Linked DNA regions of Sus scrofa. Each later gene encodes a partner of the first gene's protein in a complex. Links are inferred from orthologs where the notes say so. Each region holds a gene or a part of one and is shown in the gene's direction. Other genes may lie near its edges.

What was found.
Region 2: POLR3E (region 1) and POLR3K share a complex: the UniProt entries of both Homo sapiens proteins name them as parts of the RNA polymerase III complex. The link is inferred for Sus scrofa from reciprocal best matches to the Homo sapiens genes POLR3E and POLR3K.
Region 3: POLR3E (region 1) and POLR3G share a complex: the UniProt entries of both Homo sapiens proteins name them as parts of the RNA polymerase III complex. The link is inferred for Sus scrofa from reciprocal best matches to the Homo sapiens genes POLR3E and POLR3G.
Region 4: POLR3E (region 1) and POLR3D share a complex: the UniProt entries of both Homo sapiens proteins name them as parts of the RNA polymerase III complex. The link is inferred for Sus scrofa from reciprocal best matches to the Homo sapiens genes POLR3E and POLR3D.
Region 5: POLR3E (region 1) and POLR3F share a complex: the UniProt entries of both Homo sapiens proteins name them as parts of the RNA polymerase III complex. The link is inferred for Sus scrofa from reciprocal best matches to the Homo sapiens genes POLR3E and POLR3F.
Region 6: POLR3E (region 1) and POLR3C share a complex: the UniProt entries of both Homo sapiens proteins name them as parts of the RNA polymerase III complex. The link is inferred for Sus scrofa from reciprocal best matches to the Homo sapiens genes POLR3E and POLR3C.

The regions. Positions count from the first base shown.
Region 1 is NC_010445.4:23,863,632-23,867,131, reverse strand, and holds part of POLR3E (DNA-directed RNA polymerase III subunit RPC5), read left to right. Parts: intron 1-1,873; coding exon 1,874-1,981; intron 1,982-2,318; coding exon 2,319-2,368; intron 2,369-2,688; coding exon 2,689-2,808; intron 2,809-3,500. UniProt on the Homo sapiens protein: DNA-dependent RNA polymerase catalyzes the transcription of DNA into RNA using the four ribonucleoside triphosphates as substrates.
Region 2 is NC_010445.4:41,570,297-41,574,528, forward strand, and holds the start of POLR3K (DNA-directed RNA polymerase III subunit RPC10), read left to right. Parts: upstream 1-1,432; 5' UTR 1,433-1,476; coding exon 1,477-1,665; intron 1,666-3,027; coding exon 3,028-3,115; intron 3,116-3,749; coding exon 3,750-3,877; 3' UTR 3,878-4,232. UniProt on the Homo sapiens protein: Core component of RNA polymerase III (Pol III) which synthesizes small non-coding RNAs using the four ribonucleoside triphosphates as substrates. Can mediate Pol I proofreading of the nascent RNA transcript.
Region 3 is NC_010444.4:97,658,256-97,661,755, forward strand, and holds part of POLR3G (DNA-directed RNA polymerase III subunit RPC7), read left to right. Parts: intron 1-258; 5' UTR 259-291; coding exon 292-408; intron 409-3,500. UniProt on the Homo sapiens protein: DNA-dependent RNA polymerase catalyzes the transcription of DNA into RNA using the four ribonucleoside triphosphates as substrates.
Region 4 is NC_010456.5:6,524,013-6,527,019, forward strand, and holds part of POLR3D (DNA-directed RNA polymerase III subunit RPC4), read left to right. Parts: intron 1-235; coding exon 236-770; intron 771-1,250; coding exon 1,251-1,419; intron 1,420-1,764; coding exon 1,765-2,030; intron 2,031-2,749; coding exon 2,750-2,902; intron 2,903-3,007. UniProt on the Homo sapiens protein: DNA-dependent RNA polymerase catalyzes the transcription of DNA into RNA using the four ribonucleoside triphosphates as substrates.
Region 5 is NC_010459.5:26,725,839-26,729,338, forward strand, and holds part of POLR3F (DNA-directed RNA polymerase III subunit RPC6), read left to right. Parts: intron 1-1,828; coding exon 1,829-1,896; intron 1,897-2,337; coding exon 2,338-2,358; intron 2,359-2,482; coding exon 2,483-2,550; intron 2,551-3,500. UniProt on the Homo sapiens protein: DNA-dependent RNA polymerase catalyzes the transcription of DNA into RNA using the four ribonucleoside triphosphates as substrates.
Region 6 is NC_010446.5:99,491,338-99,495,525, reverse strand, and holds the start of POLR3C (DNA-directed RNA polymerase III subunit RPC3), read left to right. Parts: upstream 1-1,388; 5' UTR 1,389-1,724; coding exon of another isoform or gene 1,725-1,826; 5' UTR 1,827-2,310; exon of another isoform or gene 2,311-2,354; intron 2,355-3,318; exon of another isoform or gene 3,319-3,323; 5' UTR 3,324-3,343; coding exon 3,344-3,490; intron 3,491-4,017; coding exon 4,018-4,188. Other genes in the region: E3 ubiquitin-protein ligase RNF115, read right to left, coding at 1,725-1,826. UniProt on the Homo sapiens protein: DNA-dependent RNA polymerase catalyzes the transcription of DNA into RNA using the four ribonucleoside triphosphates as substrates.

The DNA.
Region 1 (3,500 bases):
TGGTAGAGAAAAGTGGAAGCGCTCCAGAGGTCCATTGGGCTGCTGCATGGGTACCCAAACATGGCATAGCCGTGGATTAGAATATTCTTTAGCTGTCATAAGGGGAGAAGTACTGATACACTCCATCCTGGGTGAGCCTTGGAATTGAAGCTAAATGAAGGAAGCCAGGCACAAAGGACCACCTGTCACATGATTCCATGCGCGGGAAATGTCCAGAATAGGCAAACCCATTGCGTTAGTAGATTCGTGGTTCCTCGGAGCTGGGAGGAAAGGGGAATGGGCCATGACTGCTGATGGGTGCAGGGTTTCTCTTTGGGGTGGTGGAAATATTCTAAAGCTGATTGCGATGCTGGTCGAACAGCTCTACGAATGCATTAAAATACATTGAATTGTATGCTTGAAATGGGTGAATTGTATGGTGTGTGAATTAGATCTCAGTAGACCCCTAGCCTGGGAACCTCCATATGCCTCGGGTGCAGTTCTAAAAAGGACAGAAAGAAAAATAAATAAATAAATAAATAAAATAAAAAAGATAAAACACTAAGGAAATAAACCAGGATAGGATAAAAGTAATGTCAAATAACTACACTCTTCTTTTTTTTTTTTTGGTCTTTTTCTAGGGCTGCACCTGCCACATATGGAGGTTTCCAGGCTAGGGGTCTCATTGGAGCTACGGCTGCCGGCCTACACCACAGCCACAGCCACACCAGATCTGAGCCGCATCTGTGACCTACATCACAGCTCATGGCAATGCCAGATCCTTAACCAACTGATCGAGGCCAGGGATCAAACCTCATGGTTCCTAGTCGGATTCCTTAACCACTGAGCCATGACGGGAACTCCTACACTCTTCTATTTCGAACCCATGTCTCAAGGATATAGTTCTGCTCCCTCTGGAGGCCCAGAGAGCTTCCCCAGAGCTGTAGCTTCTGTCTGATTTCTTCTCTTTTAAGCTTACATTGACTCGATTGAAATCTGTTATCTTTGCACTGGCTCCCAGTGCACAGGTTTGATTCACAAGAAAAGGCCATGGTGTAGACACTCCTCCACCTGGCTCCGCCAGACCTCTTCTCCAGCCCCATTCTCACTAGCCAGTTTCTTAATAGGATGGGTGGAATTTTTTTTTTTTTTTTTGGTCTTTTTGCCTTTTCTAGGGCTACTCCTACGGCATATGGATGTTCCCAGGCTAGGGGTCTCATCGGAGCTGCAGCTGCCAGCCTACACCAGAGCCACAGCAACACGGGATCCGAGCTGCTAGTCTGTGACCTACACCACAGCTCACGGCAAGGCCAGATCCTTAACCCACTGAGCGAGGCCAGGGATCAAACCCGCAACCTCATGGTTCCTAGTCAGATTCTTTAACCACTGAGCCACGATGGGAACTCCCAGGATGGGCAGAATTTTGACAGGAAGAGGTGGGAGGGTGAGGATGTGTGGGGGCGGTTAGGGAGGCAGAGAGGGTGGTCTGGCAGAGGCCTGACTGGGGGAAAGAGCAGGGCGTGTTTGGTGTGGACAAGTCACCCAGTATGGCTGCAATAAGCAGTTGTGGGGAGAGGAGTGGGGACCAGGGTCGGAGGGCCCTTGAGTGCTGGCAGAGGAGGGCTTGTAGGCAAGCCTTAAGGAAGTGGCTTTGAGCAGAGGTCTGGGTTCATGTCTCCATCCAGTTTGTGTGCTTGCTGTGCCTAAAGGGGCCTCATCAGGTTGGGAATGGCCATCAGCCTAAGACTTGGGACTAGAGCAGAGGTGGGAGGTGGCTTGGTAGTGGGCCGAGGCCTTTAAGGGAATCTGGGGCCCTTGGTAACTCCCTTGAGCCAAGCTGGGTGGGTCAGCCTCAGCTCCCAGAGTCAGGTCCAAGCCCTTCTTCCTCTGCCAGGTGAGCTCCACCTGACACCTTTACATGGCATCCTGCAGCTGCGGCCCAGCTTCTCCTACCTGGATAAGGCTGACGCCAAGCACCGTGAGAGGGAGGCCGCTAATGAGGGTGAGCTCTAGACCCCCAGCCCTGCCGTGTGTCTGGATGGGCTGCTCATGGGAAAAAGTATTAAAGGGGTGGGTTACAGCATCCTCTACCCACTGGCTGTGAGTGGCCCCCACTCCCATGATTTTGACAGTGAGAAATGTCTCTGAATTCCCAAATATCTCTGGGCTGGGGTGGGGGGGTGGGGCAGAGTCACCCCTAATTTAGAACCACCGACTTAAGCAGTGGTTAATGCTCTGTCTAGCAGGAGGATTCATGGACACTGTGGTCTGAGGCCTGCCTGGTGGGTGGAGTGGAGAGCCACCACCAGAGGCTGCAAACACGGCTTTTCCCTTTGCAGCAGGAGACTCTTCACAGGACGAGGCAGAAGAAGATGTGAAGCAGATCACGGTGAGCTCAGGCCGCAAGAGAGAGCTCAGCCTCGGGGGCAGCAGGGCCGGCTTGGTAGTTCAGCCGCCTGGAGGCAGCCAGGGTTGGGAGGGTCAGCGCAGAGCTGGGCTCTGGGGGTGAAGCCGGCAGAAACAGGCCCCGTCTCTTTGTGCCTTCCTGCCGGACTGCCTGGGGGGGACAGTCTAACCTCTGCCCAGACTGAGCTGGGGGGAGTGGGAAGTTTTCCAGACGGAGGGTTCCCTGGCCTCCTGGTGGGTGCTAAGGCGGCAACCCAGGAAGTGTCCCAGGCCTCAGGTTGTGACCCTGCCCCCCTTTCCCAGGTGCGATTCTCCCGGCCGGAGTCGGAGCAGGCCCGCCAGCGGCGCGTGCAATCCTATGAGTTCCTGCAGAAGAAGCATGCCGAGGAGCCCTGGGTGCACCTGCACTACTGCGGCCTGAGGGTGAGCTGGTGCCCAGGCAGTGTGCCCTGTGGCCTGACTGACTCTAACTTATTCGAGACTCAGCTGTAGCCACTTGGTAATGCCACGGGGAGAGGGGTTACGTCTGTGGACAGTTTGTCCTCCGTTCTTGCCTTTCTACCTGGTGTGTGCTCTGAGCGAGTTGCGCCTGCTGTGTCACTGGTGGGGGTTGTGGCCACCTGGGCTCTCCTGAGGGTGAGCATCTTGCTAGGCTCAGAGTGGGCCTGGTGTTTGGTTATGTACCTTTTTGCATCATGGTTCCTGAATGAAAGCTAGATGCTTCACTGGGCGCTCCATGGAGAATTGGCCATCTGTTCCATGGCCAAGTTCACTGCATACCTGCCAAGGGTGATTTTTACTATTTTTGACTTAGAACCCAGTCCTCGGAATTGTGTATTGAGTCAGGGAAGCAACTGAATATTAGCTATAACGACTGGGAGAGAGCAGCTCCTGATTTCTCTGGAAACTTCCAGACAGATTTATGTTGACAGAGCCTTAGACTTTGGGTCAGACTTGCAGAAGCTCTGCTGTTTCCTAGTGTGTGACCTTAGGCAAGTTACTTAATCTCTCTGAGCCTCCATTTCCTTATCTGTACAATGGGAAGAAGAATAATAATACCTAACCTCGTAGTTATTTGGGGGCTGAGATGAGTTGGTCTAGGTATACAGCCCTTA
Region 2 (4,232 bases), about 18 Mb from region 1:
CTGGGGCCCCAGGCAAGGCTGGGGCAGGGGTGCAACATTTACCGGGGCAACAGAAGACGAATACCACTATCAAGAAAACAAACTAATTTAACATTTTCATGATGGGCAAAATACAAAGATTTAAAAACAGGAGTGTGCCAGGTCATACTGAAGCCTGAGGAGAATGGAGAAATCTTTATTATTTTTCATTTTTTTGGTTTTTTAGGGCTGCACTGGCGGCATATGAAGGTTCCAAGGCTAGGGGTCTAATCGGAGCTGTAGCCACTAGCCTACACCACAGTTCACAGCAACGCCAGATCCTTCACCCACTGAGCAAGGCCAGGGAGGGGTCGAACCTGCAACTTCATGGTTCCTAGTCGGATTCGTTAACCACTGAGCCATGATGGGAACTCCAGAAATCTTTAATACTGGTCTTTTTATCTGACATGATATCATTTTGTTTACCCTAGGTCTTTATAAACCAATGTTGAGTTTTAAAAACACTGTACTGGAGTTTCCATCCCTGGCCCCACTCAGTGGGTCAAGGATCCTGCGTTGCCCATGAGCTGTGTTGAAGGTCGCAGATGCCGCTCTGGATCCTGAGTTGCTGTGGCTGTGGTGTAGGCCAGCGGATTCCAGCCCTAGCCTGGGAATTTCCATATGCCCCAGGTGCGGCCCTAAAAAGACAAAAACAAAAAGCCGAAACAACAAAAAACCTCCTAAACCAACCAAAACACTATACTGAAATGTCATGTGTCCTGACTAGCGGGTTTTTGGCGCTCCTTTTTTATTTTTTTTTTGGCCATGCCCGCAGCATGCGAGAGTTCCTCTGCCAGTCGAACGCACGCCCAGCAGCACCCGAGCCACAGCAGTGACAATGGCGGAGTTCTTAACCGCTAGACTACCAGGGAACCCTTCGTAAATGCCGCGCCGGAGACCAGTGCCTCGCTCGCCTCCCAGGCCCAGTCGGAGCCTAGACCCTCGTTTACGCCCTGAGGCCGCTTCTGGAGGTCTCCGGGCCGCTGCCATCATCGGTACCCCAGAATCGGTCCTCTCCCTGACGCTGGGCTCCGGAGCGGGGGAAGAGGCCCCGACCCATGCGCACCTGGATCGGAAGGTCGCAGAGCAGCGGGTCCTGCACCACCATGGCCAGACCCTCTTGGAAAACGTCCACCGCCTCGGAGTGCGGCAGTGCCTCTTCCTCATCCTCCTCGTCCTCCTGCGGCTCTGGCCGTCCCGAGGCCCCCGCCACCTCCAGGGCGCCTCGCAGCCCGCGGGTTCCGCCCCCACACCGCCTCTCGCGACCCGGGCCCGGGATTCCCGGGCTTCCCGCGGGGAAAGCCACCCACGGCCCGGCCTTTGGTCGAGGGGCGGGGCTACCGCCAGGACCAATGAGAAATGATGCTTTGGGAGCCAGCCTGCCGCAGTGCACACTGGGAGTGCGGAGCCGACGTGCCTACTGGTGGGCTGATTGCTGAGAGGCGGCCGCCGGGACCAATGGGGAGTTCGGGGCGCCCGGAAGCCCCCGGAGTCCACGGCCAGGGAGCTGCAGGGAGCGTAGGCTGGGCTGTCGTGATGCTGCTCTTCTGCCCAGGCTGCGGGAACGGGCTGATTGTGGAGGAGGGTCAGCGCTGCCACCGCTTCGCCTGCAACACCTGCCCCTATGTGCACAACATCACCCGCAAGGTGGGTCCGCGCCGGCCTCCCGGCACGCAGGGCCGCAGCCGTCGTTCTCGCGGAGCGCGCCAGGCCCTGACCCTCACCTCCCCTAGCTCCGTCCTCTGCTTGGGTTTCGCGTCCCAGCAGCCTCTTGCCCGCACCGCCAGCCTCTCGGAGGCGCCCCGGTCTTGCCCAAGGCGCTGCTTCCAGGGTCTGTGCAGGAGTTTTCTGTTCTAGTCGCTCTTCCCCTAGGGACTCACTCGTTCCTGTCACTCCTGCCTGTATTTACCTAAGGGATTGTTTATATAAATGCGGCCTTTCCGTTCCCTAGTTTTATTTTTCATATAGGGCTCACTGCCTTCCAGTATACTTTCTTTTCTTTCTTTCTTTTTGTTTGTTTAGTTTTTGTTTTGGCCGCGCCCCCGGCACCCTGGCATGCACAAGTTCCTTGTGCTGGGGACGTGGCTCGGATCGTCATTGTCGAAAAATGAGGCACGTGAACACGGGGAGATCTCGACAAGGCTCTTTACTGCTGCAGAAGGGCGCTGGGCACCCCAAAAAGTGCGCGTGCCCCGAACAAAGGACCCTCCCCTGTTTATCCCTAACACAGGGGATGTACCCTGTCCCCTTCCCGTGGGTCAGGTCAGGGTGCACGTTCTTCCCAGTTGGCTAATTTGAAACAAACTGTTACTGGGAGAAGAGGGAAGGGGGGGGGGTTGCAGGAAGGCATTTCAGCAAAATGGAGTCACCAAGATTTCTTTTGCTTATGTCGCTTTCCACACCTGCAAACCTGCACCACAGCAGCGACAGAACCGGGACAGAACCAGGGCGGTAACCCGCTGAGCCAGCAGGGAACTCCCAAGTGCTACTTTCTCCTTAGTATTTGTATAGATTTGTATAGTGTCCTGCCATGTGGCCGTGTTGTGGGAGTTTAGGGTCTGAAACGACGCGGAGGGTGGACTCTTACCTACCCCGACAGGTCAAGGACGGCTGGTAGAACCTGGCAAGTGCTTAGAAAGCTCTGCCCGGAGCCTGGGGGGGGGGGGCGGCTCCCCGGCTGAGATTGCCCTTCTTTGGCCTCAGTTCTCTGGGGCCTCGTCTCGGGCTACCCAGCCTTAGGGGGTGTGGGAGAAGAGGAGGGCCATACCCGAGCCATGCTTCTCTTGCTCCTCTTGCTTTGTCCAGTCCTTGCAGAGACCTTCTCTTGGGGCAGTCCAATCATGGGTCCTCTAAGTTCTGATGGAGCAGGGCCTCTGCCTGTCCAGTACCCCTCCCGTCCGGGTTGAAGGGTGGAAGAAGCCAGACACCTGCGGGCAGGTGTGGTTAGGTGATCCTGGGGTGTGCGGTTCAGTCAGTTGGAGAGACTGAAGAGTGGCTGTTGTTTGTTAGGTAACGAATCGGAAGTACCCAAAGCTGAAAGAAGTGGATGACGTGCTTGGTGGAGCAGCTGCCTGGGAGAACGTCGACTCCACCGCAGGTGAGAGGGAGAGGCCTGTTCCCGGGCAGAGCTGTGGATGGTACGGGGCTGCTGACTCTGCCCCTCCGTGGCAGTCTGCTTGTGCTTCTGCGAAGAGGAAGTCTATATTTTCTTCCTTAATAATTTCTTAGAAATTTTTATTTATTCATGTGGTGGTTTTTTTGGTTTGTTTGTTTTTTGCTTTTTAGGGCCCCACCCACGGCATATGGAGGTTCCCAGGCTAGGGGTCTAATCAGAGCTGCAGCCGCTGGCCTCCACCCCAGCCACAGCAAGGCCAGATCCTTTACCCACTGAGTGAGACCAGGGATTGAACCCACAACCTCATGGTTCCTAGTCGGATTCGTTTCCGCTGCGCCACAACAGGAACTCCTTCCTTGATACTTTCTTTGTTCCAAAACCAGTGTCGGCACAAGCTTTGGAGCTGTTCAGACCTGATTTCGAATCTTGAGGTGGCTTACTGCCTTATGACCGTGACCTTTCTGGGCTACCTCCACATGCCACAAGTTCCCCGGCCAGGGACTTGGTCCGCGCCGCAGCCGCAACCCAGGCCGCTGCAGTCGGATTCTTCAGCCTCTGTGCCACACTGGGCATCCTTTTTGAAGTAACCGTGGGTCCCTTGTTTTTCTCACGCCAGAGCCGTGTCCCAAGTGTGAGCATCCTCGGGCCTATTTCATGCAGCTCCAGACCCGCTCTGCCGACGAGCCCATGACCACCTTCTACAAGTGCTGCAATGCTCAGTGTGGACACCGCTGGAGGGACTAGGGCCGGGTGGCCCCGCTGCCCAGCATCTGCTCACCTCATTCCCCAGGGCGGATTCCCAGCTGGAAGGGAACTGCGGGTTCTGAGCATCTTTGCCGGTGTGGCAGAAAGCCAGCCTTCTCAGAGTGGCCCGGCCGGGGGGCCAGGAGATGGCCCCCATCGCCCAGGCAGTGGATGAATTTGCTGACGTCCAGGGAGAACTTGTGTTTGGGGGCAGTGGCCACACCAAGTGCGTCTTATTTAGGGTCCTGTTATCCATCTTTCCCGTTTAGTGGGCAGTGAGCTTTCTCTCGCCACCAGCTGACGCTCGTAAACATTTATTTATATGTTGGCACACCCAAGAAAATGGGGCTTTGAC
Region 3 (3,500 bases), on another chromosome or scaffold:
AGGAGACCCAGGGTCAGCCCTCTACCCAGGATGTAGGTGAAGTAGTTGAGTCCATCATCATCTTACCTACCAAACATGACTAGATGTGACAGGATCAGGGATCAGCATATCACATATTTATGCCTTTACAAGGTGTGCTTTCCAGAAATGTTTCAAATGGGCCATGCTGTTTAAGGAGTGAAGTGTATTTTGTTTTAAGATGTTGGTTTCATTTTTCATGTGATCCATCAAATCTTAATCATTGATAATGTCTTTCAGAATTTGCCTACTTTTCTGGTATAACAATTTCCAATGGCTGGGAATAAAGGAAGAGGACGTGCTGCTTATACGTTTAACATCGAGGCAGTTGGATTTAGCAGAGGTGAAAAGTTACCCGATGTTGTATTGAAACCACCTCCACTATTTCCTGTAAGTACATTAACAGCGAAATTCTCAGAATGTCTTTTCATGTTTCAGACAAAATTTAAATTGTATATAGGACTTGAATGTATATCGTTATGTTATCTTCTTACCCTCTTACAAGGAAAAGAAGAGAATATAAAAGAGTAAAGGAGGATATGTTTCACTTACCTTTGAATTTATTCACTGTTTTCTGAACCTTTCCTTTTTCTTTCTTTCTTCCTTTTTTTTTTTTTTTTTTTAAAAGCATGCCCAGGCCAAGGATGGATCCCACACCATAGCAACAATTGAGCCATGGCAGTGACAGTGCTGAATCCTTAACCCACTAAGCCACCAGGGAACTCCTTTATTTATTGCATTTAATTTTTTTAAATTGAGGTATAGTTGATTTACAGTGTATTCTGCTGTACAGCAGAGTGATTCAGTTATACATATATGCACTCTTTTTTAGAAAATACTCTTTTCTATTATGGTTTATCATAGGACATTGAATATAGTTCTCTGTGCTCTATAGCAGGATCTTCTTGTTTATCCCCTCCATGTATAATAGTTTACATTTGCTACCACCGATCTTCCACTCCATCCTTCTCCCAGCCCCCTCCTGGCAGCCACAAGTCTACTGAACCACTTCAAATTATCAGCATGCTTTCTTAAAATACAAAAAACTGGAGTTCCCATCTTGGCTCAGTGGTTAACGAATCCGACTAGGAACCATGAGGTTGTGGGTTTGATCCCTGGCCTTCCTTAGTGGGTTCATGATCCGGCATTGGCTGTGAGCTGTGGTGTAGGTCGCAGATGAGGCTCAGATCCTGCATTGCTGTGGCTGTGGCATAGGCTGGAGGCTACAGCTCTGATTAGACCCCTAGCCTGGGAACCTCCATATGCCGCAGGAGAGGCCCTAGAAAAGGCAAAGACAAAAAAAAAAAAAAATTCAAAAACCTATATATACCTTTCCCTGAATATATTCAGTATTTTGTGAATTAAGAAAGAATTTGTTTCTCAATTCTTATATCTTCTAGTGCTATTAATGATACATTCCAATGTCAGAATATTTTTAAAAATACAGTTAGATCTTACAGTGGTCCTTACTTCCCATTATGTCTGACCTTCATTTAATGATTTTTCTTCTCATCTTGTATCCATAAATTTAACTTTGTTTCCTAGTATACCACTTGGCCTTTTTTCCCCACTGAACTTTTTTTTTTTTTCTTCCTTATTTTATTAAAGTCAGTTTGAATTTTATTACTGTTTATCAAAACATAAGCACATCTATTACATTTAGTAATGAGTATACTGCATACTTAATTGGCATCATTTTTAATCTAGTGCTTTCACTTTAGTTTAAAATGTAAGCTTACAGGGAGTTTCCTTGTGGTGCAATGGGTTAAGCATCTGACATTGTCACTGTAGCAGTTTGGGTCACTGCTGTGGTGTGAGTTTGATCCCTGGCTTGGGAACTTCCACATACCATAGGCGCAGCAAAAAAAAAAGTAAGCTTATCTTATTAGATGCATATTTGCTATAGTATAAAATATGAAAAAAATCATAAATAACCCAGTACTCCCTCCAAGAATCTTTTCCCTCTTTCAAAAGGAAACATCCTTTATTGAAAGATTTATGTAAGTAGAGGACCCTGGACAAACATATTAGGGATCTAGATGTTTCACATAGGGAGTGTATACTTTTTGCTCTTGATATTTTGCCTTTTTGATATTCAGTACAGCCTAAAAACAAAGATAATTACCTCAGGTATAGACATAATGTCAGTTTACACTGACTTCTTTTAAAATAAGTTCCTTTTCATGTGGGAGATTACTTCTAAAGCCTGGGAATGTTGGTGCATATTGTCATTTTATATATGGAGTAAAATTGAAATTCCTTATTACTGGCTTAAAGGGCTTTATCTGCTCTGGCCTTTCTGATTTTTCTCTGACCCTTTTCCTACCACTGTCCTTCTCTCCTTAGCCATCCTAGTCTCTTCGTCCCCTTAGGCATTTTCCTCTGCTGGTTTCCCTGGCTGGAACCACTGGTTTCGCATTTCTTAATTTTATCCAGATCTCTGCTCGAGCATGACTTCCCCAAGAGGATGGGTGCTTACTCTGCCTAGACCAGCCTCTTCCATGTACTCTGTCAGTCGCTCTTTCCTCTTCCTGGCTTCAGTCCTTTTATGCCACTTAGCACTATCTGAAGTTATGTATGACCTCATTTGTTTACTTCCTACTGTGTTTTTCTTCCCTAGAATGTAAATTTCATGCAGGCAAGAACTTTGAGGAGTTCATCGTGGTGTCTCCTGTTGTCCAGCCATGTGTGGCTTATAGTAGGAACTCAGTAAATAATTGTAGAATGAATGAATAAATTCAGAGTGAAATTTTTAAATGTACCCTATACTTAGCCTTTAAAACCAGAAATGTTTTCATTATGTACCCTGAAGACCCACTTTTTTATGAATGTATATTATGAGTATATATACATACATGTATACATATGCGTGCATGAATGTAATTTTTTAAAATTGAAGATACAGATTCAAATTTCTCCTTTGCCATTTATGTGTTATGTGAGCTTATGGATTATTCAGTTCTCATTTTTCTCACTGTAAAAGGGGAAATATTGATGATACTTTACATGAGAACATGAATTTTGAATATTAAGTATATCCAGGTTGTAGTAACCACTGGTTAAATGGTATCTGCTACTATTTCTTTCTTTCTTTCTTTTTTTCTTTTTTTTTTAATGCTATTGCTTCTCCCAGTAGCACTACTACTGATTGAGATTAATAGGACTCTACAGCAGTTGCTCTTATTTGGGTGCCTTGATTTTTAAATATAGAAGCACAGTCAAAAGACTATATAACAGAATGGTTATTGGTGTGATCAGGAAGAAAACTAGGGGAGATAGAAAACTAAGTATCTTTCCTACTTCTAAAATAAGCAGAAAGTAGGAAATGGGTGAAAAGATTACAAAATTAAATAGATTATAGATTATAAAAGCTCAAAATCTTTTAGGTTGGCTGAAGAACTTACTACCTGTAAAATGTGATTTTTCAATAAAACTGACATTTTTTAAATATAGACAAAAGAGATATTAAAATAGTTAATTAA
Region 4 (3,007 bases), on another chromosome or scaffold:
AGTTCTAATACGTGATCTCGAACAAAAAGGTAAAGCAACGGTAAACTGAAAGGACTTCACCTCATCAAGCAAGTGAAAAGATGCTCGACTTAGGATTGGGGGTTCTGCTTCTCATGATGTACTTGTTGGCTCATTAAATTCTCCATACAGTTGGAACGGAGTGGTGTGGGAAAGTAAGACCAGTTCTCGGAGGCAGGGAAGTGAGTGGTTTTATTTTGCCCCTTCTCTTTTCCAGGCCCAAGGAAGAAGTAGCAGTCAAGAAGGAAAAGCGTGAAAGGGATAGAGACCGACAGCGAGAGGGCCATGGAAGGGGCCGGGGGCGCCCAGAAGTGATCCAGTCCCACTCCATCTTTGAGCAGGGCCCAGCTGAAATGATGAAGAAGAAGGGTACAAAGCTGCCGGGGCTCTGGGAGGAAGGAATCAGTGGCTTTCAGGTCCAGCTGCCCACGAGGAGGGCAAGGGCAGTGGCATTCCCCTGCTTGCTCCCAGTTAGCTCTCCTTGCTGTTGGCCTCTTCTTTACTTCTTGCATCATTTCCCACAGGGAACTGGGATAAGACCGTGGACATGTTGGCCTTGCTGTTGGCATGTTGGACATGCCTCCTTGCTGTTGGCCCCTTCTTTACTACTTGCGTCATTTCCCACAGGGAACTGGGATAAGACCGTGGACATGTCAGACATTGGGCCCTCTCACATCATCAACATCAAAAAGGAGAAGAGGGAGACGGACGAAGAAACAAAACAGATCCTGCGTATGCTGGAGAAGGATGATGTAGGTACCATCAGGCTAGGGGGAAGGGGCTTCTGGGGAGCCAGGTCGGGGAGAAGAGAGCTCTGATGTCCTGAAAGCCCCGTGAGTAGCAGGAATCTTCAATTAGGAAAAGGCTAAGGTGGGGAGTTCTCAGTCGTGGCTTAGTGGTTAGTGAACCCGGATAGCATCATGAGGACATGGATTGGTCCCTGGCCTTGCTCAGTGGGTTAAGGATCCAACATTGCCATGAGCTGTGATGTAGGTTGCAAATGCAGCTCAGATCTTGCGTTGCTGTGGCTGTGGTGTAGGCCTCGGCTACAGTTCCGATTGGACCGCTAGCCTGGGAACCTCCATATACCACAAGTGTGGCCCTAAAAGGCAAAAAGACCCCCCCCCCAAAAAAAAGGCTAAGGTGGGGGAAAAAAGGGGCGAACGTGGACTGCACTCCAGGCAAATGTGTTTGCGGGCCTGGCTGTGTGACCCTTGGCTCCTCTTTGACAGTTCATCGATGACCCTGGCCTAAGGAATGACACTCGAAATACACCTGTGCAACTGCCACTGGCTCACTCAGGCTGGCTTTTTAAGGAAGAGGATGAAGAAGCAGATGTTAAACCCTGGCTTCCTGGCCACAAGGAAGAGGACATGGATGTGGACGGGCCTGCTGTGAAAGGTACTCTGTGTCAGTTAATGTCTCCTTTCCTTTTCTGTGCCTGCCCCACCCCCTCTCTGGGAATGAGCCTCCCAGACCAACTCATAAGGCAGTCCAGCCGTCAATACAGGACCTGGCCACGGGCACTAAATTCTCACTCTCAGCAGGTTCCTGGCAACAGGAGTTGGTGGGCCCAGCCTCAGATACCTCTTTTTATGTAACTCCTGGATCCTTCTCTGTAAACAGAGTTTCCTTCCAGCTTCCTGGCTGAATGACAGTGGAGCAGACCGAGGCGAAGGGGTGGGTGCAGTGAGATCATGGGTGATGGCCACTTGATAGCACTTCCATTTCTGTTGTCTTGGGCAGTGAAAGAAGAACCACGAGATGAGGAGGAGGAGACCAAGGTGAAGGCTCCTCCCAGAGCCACCCGGAAGACCCCGAGCCTACCGAAGGACGTGTCTGTGGCAGAGCTGCTCAGGGAGCTGAGCCTCACACAGGAGGAAGAGCTGCTGTTCCTGCAGCTGCCAGACTCGCTCCCTGGCCAGCCACCCACTCAGGACATCAAGCCTGTCAAGACGGAGGTGCAGGGCGAGGATGGCCAGATGGTGGTTATAAAGCAGGAGAAAGACCGGGTATGCTCGGGAATGAGTTCTGTGAAGATGCGGGGGCACTGAGAGGGGACACAACCACCCTTAGGGGAAGCAAAGGTGTGCCTCCTGTCCTGAAATGGGAGAACAGTATGCATTTGTTCTTTCTGCATGTAGGGGCCTTGGGGCTTTGCACTTCAACCCCAATTGTATGTGTTTCCTTTTCACAATGGAATATTTTGAACATACACAAATGAGAGAACGTAAATTCTTGTGTACTATCACCCAGCTGCAGCAGTTGCTGGTATTTTGCTCCTTTGCTGGTGTTTGCTGTGGGTGGGGTTTGGTTTTTTGACCAATGGCAGGCAGCTCCAGGAAAAGGCCCTCTTTGGGGAGCTCCCCCCCCCTTTTTTTGTCTTTTTAGGGCCACATCCGCAGCATATGGAGGTTCCCAGGCTAGGGGTTGAATCGGAACTGTAGCTGCCAGTCTAGCCACAGCCACGCCAGATCCAAGCCATGTCTGTGACCTATATACCACAGCTTACGGCAAAGGCAGATCCTTAACCCACTGAGTGAGGCCAGGGATTGAACCTGCATCCTCATGGATACCAGTGAGATTCATTTCCGCTGTGTTATGACAGGAACTCCCTGGGGAGCTCCTTCTCACCTTTGCTGCTGCTGCCTTCCTGTAGGAAAGGGTTCATTATTGAAGGATGGAAGAGACGGCTCCTTACCTGGTTTCCATCCCCTGGTTGTCTTCATAGGAAGCCCGCCTGGCAGAGAACACCTGTACCCTGGCTGACCTGACAGAGGGCCAGGTTGGCAAGCTGCTCATCCGCAAGTCAGGGAAGGTGCAGCTCCTCCTGGGCAAGGTGACTCTGGACGTGACGATGGGAACCGCCTGCTCTTTCCTGCAGGTGAGGGCCCGCCAGGTCTCTCTGAGGCTCTTTAAGACATTGAGGATGGTTAAGGAATTGGTGTGGAACATGGGGAGGAAGGGAAGTGTTCAAATCATAGGGCTG
Region 5 (3,500 bases), on another chromosome or scaffold:
TTCAACAATACACAGAAAGGATCATACAGCATGATCAAATGGGATTTATTCTAAGGATGTGAAAATATTCAGTATGCACAAATAAATCAGTGTAATACATTAACAAAAGGAAGGCTAAAAATCATGTGACACTGTCAGTATGATCATGAAAAAGCATTTGACAAAATTGAACATCCATTCATAATAAAAAAAAAAAGCCTCATTGAAGTTGTTATAGAGGGAACGTGTTTTAACATAATAAAAGCCAGGGAGTTCCTTTCGTGGCTCAGTGGTAAACGAACCCTACTAAGATCCCTGAGGACATGGGTTCAATCCCTTACCTCACTCAATGGGGTTAAAGATCCAGCATTGCTGTGAGCTGTGGTGTAGGTCCCAGACAAGTCTCAGATCCCGAGTTGCTGTGGCTGTGGCGTAGGCTGGCAGCTGTAGCTCCGATTTGACCCCTAGCCTGGGAACTTCGATATGCCATGGGTGTGGCCCTAAAAAGCAAAAAACAAAAACAAAACAAAACAAAACAAAAAAAACTTTTAGAACTGAGAGTTCCCTTGTGCCTCAGTGGGTTAAAGTTCTTGTGTTGTCATTGCTGTGGCACAGGTTCAGTCTCTGGCCTAGGAACCTCCCTGTGCTGCAGGTGCATTCAAAAAAACCCTAAACTATTAGAACTAATAAATGAATTCAGTAAAGTCACAGGATCAAGATTAATATCTGGACATCTATTGCTTTTCTATACACTGATAATGAACTATCAAAAAGAGGAAACAAGAAAATCTCACTTAAAAATCACATAAAAAGAATAAAATACTTAGGAATAAACTTAACCAAGGAGGTGAAAGACCTAACTCTGAAAACTGTAAAACACTGATGAAGGAAATGGAAGATACTACAAAGAAATGGAAAGATGTCCCATGTTCATGGACTAGATATAATTAAAATATCCCTGTTACTCAAAGCAGTCTGAAGATTTAATGCAGTTCACATCAAAAATATCCAGGACAGTTTTCATGGAGCCTTCAGATTGGCCTTTGTGGTTCAATTTTTCCACTTCTGGGGCCGGAGTGGGAGGAAAGTATTGCTGTTAAGCCATTTATGTAAACCTGATTCCAGGTCATGGGTCTGCTTGGCCTTAACCCATGGAAACGGGGCTTCTCTTAGCCATACTTCCCTGAACTGCTGACAGCCCAGTGGTCAGCCATCTGGGTTCTTCCAAGTTCAGAACCAGAGAAATGCAGAAGCATGACAGACATGCTTTATTTTACTTTTGACTTGTATAAAAACAAAACTACTGCAAGCCTTTTATTCACTGGTCGACTTTTCCACCTAATTTTCATGTAACATTTCAGAAATCACACACATCAGTAAATGTTACTATTAACTTTGTAAATTTTACTTCATCACTTTCATAGACTATTTTTGCATGTTTAGCTTTTATTTGAACATTTTAGGTAAATTATTGTATTTATATTTGATACACTTAACTGAATTTGCTTGAATATGGATTTTTATTTGTTATTCTGACTTTTGTTTAAAATTCTTTAAAGCATTGATCATATAACCAAGCCAGGATCAAGCATGTAGAAAATTATTAGGTATTAATGTTTTGGGAAATGATGAGATAAAGAGCTAAGTTCTTAAAAATATATCACATGTGATACGTAGGAAGAAGCTTAAGTCTCAAGTGAGAAACTGACAAATAACTATGGGAGGTAGGATATTTTAATCCATATAAACTATTGAAGAATATATTAATGTGTTTATCATTGGATTTGATCTATCTCCCAAATAACTCACTGCTATTTTCTTTTAAAAACAAACAAACAAACAACTTTAGGGTCAGTTGGATCTCTTAAGAAGCAATACAGGCCTTCTGTATAGAATAAAGGACTCTCAGAATGCTGGGTAAGCACCTAATTTTTTATTTTAAGAAAATTTTAATATCATGAAAGGAGTATAAATCTGGGGGGTGGGGGAGCCAGTGCAGCATAAAGTAAAGCATAATGTAAATCTGTCCTACATAATCATCTCACCTCCCATCATGAGTTCCATTTCCCAGAGATAACTGCTCTTATTAATATAGTGGTATATATCTTTCTTATAGGTATATGTAAATACATATAGATGATTATATATTTATATTCCATATATTTATATATAATCTCTTATAGGTATATGTAAATACATATAGACGATTATATATTTATATTCCATATATTTATATATAATCTCTTTTCTTTTTTTTTTTTTTTTAAACAAAAATTGGATCATGCTATCCATACTGTTTTGCAACTTGTTTTTTTCACTTACTATATCATGGACATCTTTTCATTCTGGTACATACAGCCCTGTCTCATTCTTTTTAAGGTAAGCCCTTCTTTTGGTAAATCAGTAAATGTGATGACCTTGTCTGCTGATTCATTTAGTTGTGTAGATTATTAGATTATCCTGTACCTCTTTGCCTTTTTAATTCTACTTTATTCCCCTGCAGTAAAATGAAAGGATCAGATAATCAAGAGAAACTAGTATATCAAATCATAGAGGATGCGGGAAATAAAGGTAAGCATGTGCAGGAACAAGCAGAAAAAAACCATCGTCTTTAGGACCAGATATAGGAACTGAGATCCTGGCTTCCCAGGGTATGGATCAGTCAGGAGAGTATGCAGCCATTTGTGTTAAAAGGGGAAAAAAATGTAAAAAATGTGTGTGTGTGTGTGTAATGTACATAGGCTTGAAGGACACTCAGGAGTGATGCTTTTGTTGCCTGAAGGGAGACAGGGACCAGATGGCTGTGGGTAGGGATGGAAAGAAATGTCCAAATTCTGAATCATGTGAATGTATTATTCATTCAAAATAAATAAATTAAAACTTAAAACTTAAGGGCTTTTTTGTTTGTTTGTTTTAGTTGTACAATGATCATTACAACCCAATTTTATAGCATTTCTGTCCCAAACCCTCAGTGCAAACTTAAGGGTTTTTTTTTTTAATATTCACTTTCTTTTTTTTTTTTTTTTTTTTTTTGTCTTTTTAGGGCCGCAGCATCAGCATATGGAGGTTCCCAGACTAGGGGTCTAATTGGAGCTGTTGTTGCTGGCCTACGCCACAGCCACAGCAACTCAGGATCCAAGACTCATCTGTGATCTACGCCACAGCTCACGGCAATGTGGGATCCTTAACCCCTGAGTGAGGCCAGGGATCAAACCCGCAACCTCATGGTTCCTAGTTGGATTTGTTTCCGATGCGCCACAACGGGAACTCCAGTATTCACTTTCTAAATTTTAGAAACCTTTATTTCTTCCTTTCCTCTGTAAATTGTGGACAATAACATCTCTGGTTTTTGCACAAACCAGAGGATGCCTAGTGCAGTATGGCAGTGTCTGATGTAGTTTCTTCAACAGCTATTTAGTTCCTTTTCTATTGCCCTTGAAGACTATAGTAGCCCTTGCTAATATTATAATTTAAGATCTACTTGAGTCACCGATATTAGCTTCAACAATTATGATGTAACC
Region 6 (4,188 bases), on another chromosome or scaffold:
GCATCAAACTAAGGCTTAGAAAAACACCTAAAAAGTCTTTCAAATGAGCCCTTTTCAAGAGCACTTTGAAGTGAGGACTTGAGATGGTAGGGAGAAAAGATACAGTAAGTGGAGGAAAGTTAGACTGTTTTCTCACTCTCAAAGGCAAACGGTGAACAGCAACTTAAAGATCAGAATAGCCAAGGCCTCACTGTTCATTAGGGCATCACATTCAACATGTCACTCATCACACATGCACTGGCTGAATTCCAGACTCCCTCTCTGTGGTAAGGAAGAGTTCTGGAGCCTCCAATGTCCACTGGAAAAACAAACAAACAAACAAACAAGCCACGGCACCTGCTCTTCTCAGCACTGAAGTATAGCAAAAAGCACACAGACACAGACACACAGCCAAATCATCCAAGCAAAACTAAAAGAGCGTGTAGATGAAACTACGACCATGAAGTTAGGGGTGGGGCAAATAGAGAAGAAAGAAAATACAGCAAAAGCCTGAAAAAGCACAACTCAAGTGAAAAGGCTAAAATACTGTTTAGGCACTTTTCACTGGACTCCACTGGTGTTTCTAAGAACTAAGACACAGAGACACACTTTAATAGGCTTTCTCACAGATTGTATCTGAGACACTATAAACACTGAGATAAGTAGTTACACAGACACCCTCTTAAGGCTGAACAAAGATACTTCTAAGGAAAAGAACAACCATAACTAGTTCTAAAGATGGTTGGCCAAAGGTAGGATTAACATTCACCCTGGTGGATCTCCCTGCAGTAGTAACTCAACCTAAAACAGCCTCTGGGCTTGGGGTGCAATAGCTGGCAAGCATGCTGCAGAAGCACTTTTTTTCCACAGCCAACAGCACTACCTCTCTAGGGGCTAACACAGTCTGGCAGAAACTGACGAAAACCAATTTTACGTCAGAGGATGCAGTCCCCAACATTCTGTCCTAGATCTTCTCACTAAGTGAAGAGAGAGAATGGGGGAGGGGAAGGAGGGGCGGGTAAGGCAGGTGGTGCTAAAGATACTGGCAGCATGACAACCAAAATAAGAGAGTTGAAAGAATATGTTCTGCCTTCTTCCTAAAGCCATTTCCTTCGACAGTGATTGGGATCGCAGTCCGCAAGTCATTAGTACACCGCTGTTTTCACTTTCACAAGAACGCTGGAAACCCCTGAAGAGTAAAATCCCCCTCTCTGCCCAGTTACCTTCCAACCCTCCCTCCCCCCCCCGCCCCGCTTTCTTCCCTCCTTCCCTAGAGACAATGAATAAAGACAATCCTCAGCAATCCGCTATATTGCTTCAATGAGGATAGTGGAAGGGGAGATCTGATGAAAAGTGGAAAAGGAAATAAAGATGAGAAGCAACAGCGGAAGGGGGGGGGAGGTCATTGTGGAAAGAGACAAGGTGAAGAAGAATGTAAGAAAACGGAGAGGAGGGGGTCAGCAGAAAACTTGCTAAGGAAAACCAGGAAAAAAAAAATAATAGAGGGCAGGTAAAAAGGGGAAAGAGTGAGGGACAGGTGGAGCATCCGAATGGAAAAAAGGCTGGGCGGGAGTTACTGAGCCACACAGCCCGGACGCCCGGGGTTTAGGAGACAGTGGGCAGCAGGTACCTGGGATACCCATGTCAGGGGAGTCGGGGCTGTGCGGGAAGCCTAAGCGCCGTTCTGGGACATCCGGACGAGGAACCCACGCGGACGCTGGCGTGCAGAGGACACACACTCTTACCGGTAGTTTGGGGCTGACCTCGCCCTTGCAAAAGTGGCAGAAAAACCGGTGCGCGGCAACAGCGGCGCCTGCGCCGGCCCCGGCCGCCGAGGCCTCCGCCATTTTTCTCTCCCGGCGCCGCCGTCCGAGAGGGCAGCCGGCCCGTCGCTCCCCAGGCCGCTACCTCCCGGCTACAAGAGACGCCTCTGCCTCCGCCGCCGCCGCTTCTTCAGCGCAGCTGGCCGCTCCAGAGTCCGCGCGGGTCACGTGAGCCCGCCCGGCCCACAAGGCGTCGGCGAGGACGGCGACCCCACGGCCCGCCTCCCGGCACCAAAGAGCTACAGGAAGGAGAGTCCGTCCGGCGCTGCCCTCCCGCCGGCTCCTCTAACACCCCTCGCCGGTCCTCCAACCTCCCAGCGAGAAGGAAGCAAGAGCGTCCCCGGAAACCACCGAAACGCTGGGGTAGAGCGGCACACGTTTTTCCTCTTTGCTGACCCTCCTCGTTGGCCGGGCTCCTGCGCAAAAGGGCCTTGGGGTGCCTTCTGCTCGAGCCGCTGGCTGGAGCCGCACGAGGTCGGCGGCGGCTTTAGATTGCATTGACCCAGAGGTTAGTGGAAAATGCGGTCTGAATGAGGCCGTTTCTCTAGACCCAGGGACCCAGTCCGGAACCGGAACCTGGGGGAAGGAAGTGTAGAATCAGGAGCCAGGTTCCTTGGAAATCCTTATCAAGGATGGCAGATGGTCTGGGGATACTTCCCCAAAGACCTGTGAGTGGGAATACTGAGACTGAAAGACACAGTCTTGGCTTCTGAGGGATTGGGAGAAATAAATGAACAGACCAGTGTGTGGTAGCACTTATGACAACAAGTGATTTTATAGTCAACTATGTTTGTTTCTTTTTGTGTCTACTTTGTCAAGGAGTAGAAATTTCAGAATACTGCCCTGCCAACAACATGCTTCATCTGTTGTTTGAAACACTCTGTTGAGACGCTCCTAATTTATTTTGCAAAGTTGTCATTTCTTACGGATTGGGAATGACACTTCCTGTTCACTCCCAATAGGCTGTGAATAGTGTCCTTAATTCCTCCAAATAAAATCATCTACACACGATATTTAAAGAAAATTGGACTCGTACATCCCATAAGGATAAGTTTGATATATTGTCTTGCAGTCTTTTTTTTCTTATACCTATAAGAAAAAAGGGGGTTTTTTTTTCACAATAATTTAAGTTTCTTCTACATTTTGCTTTGTAACCTGCTTCTTTCACTTAATGAACAATTTTGTACACTAATACATGTTACACTTCATTGTAAACATAGACGTAGTATGCCATTGTATGAGTCTACCATAATTTATTGAAATAATCCCGTATTGTTAGATATTATATTGTTTCTGGAATGTCAGTATTCTAAAGTGACATCATTATTATTCGCTTGAAACAAAATAGCCAAAGCAAAAGTATTAGGTCAAAGATATGCAAGATTTTAAGGCTTTTGACGTATCTACTGTCAAGTTGCCCTCCAAAAAGTACATGAATTTACACTTAGCAGCTCTACTCCAACATAAAAGAAAAACTTCCCATCGTGCTATTTTTTCTTTTCTTTTCTTTTCTTTTCTCAGGTCTGAGACTTCTCAGTACAATGACTCAAGCAGAAATTAAACTGTGTTCTTTATTGCTGCAAGAGCATTTTGGAGAGATTGTAGAAAAAATTGGAGTCCACCTAATCAGAACTGGCAGCCAGCCACTAAGAGTTATTGCCCATGACACAAGAACATCGCTGGATCAGGTATGTTTGGATCACACTAATTTGCTTTTATTTCATTAGTTTCCTTTACCTACCCTTGAATATTACTACTCCCCACCCCACAAAATACAAAAGAGAGCTACACTGAGATCAGAACAGTGTCATTGGGAGGGAGAGAGGATGAGACATAGTGCCTAAGGTTCTGCTTCTCAAAGCGATCTGGCTCACTGTGGCTTCTTAGGCAAACCTGTGCTTTTCATTTGCCATACTTCATTCATGCATGATGAGTCTATTAATTTCAGCACTACCTTTAAGGAATGGCAGTAACAGAGAGCAAGTAAGTTGTACTTTGTAAGATAAAGATCAGAGGAAATATGAGCTAGGAATCCTCCTGATTTCTTCATAAGATGAACAATGCGATTCTTAACAGCTATTCCAATGGAGAGAGAGAAGATGCACGGAGGTTCCAGCCATCTCCTGAAGTTTAGTAAATTGTTGGACAGAAATTGCCAACAATAATGAACTGCATTTTCCAATTTTTTTTTCTCTTTCTTTTGTGTCCTCTCTAGGTTAAAAAAGCCCTTTGTGTCCTCATCCAGCATAACCTGGTGATATATCAAGTGCACAAACGTGGTGTGGTGGAGTATGAAGCCCAGTGCAGCCGGGTGTTGCGAATGCTTAGGTATCCCCGGTACATCTATACTGCCAAAACGCTGTACAGTGACACTGGAGAGCTGATT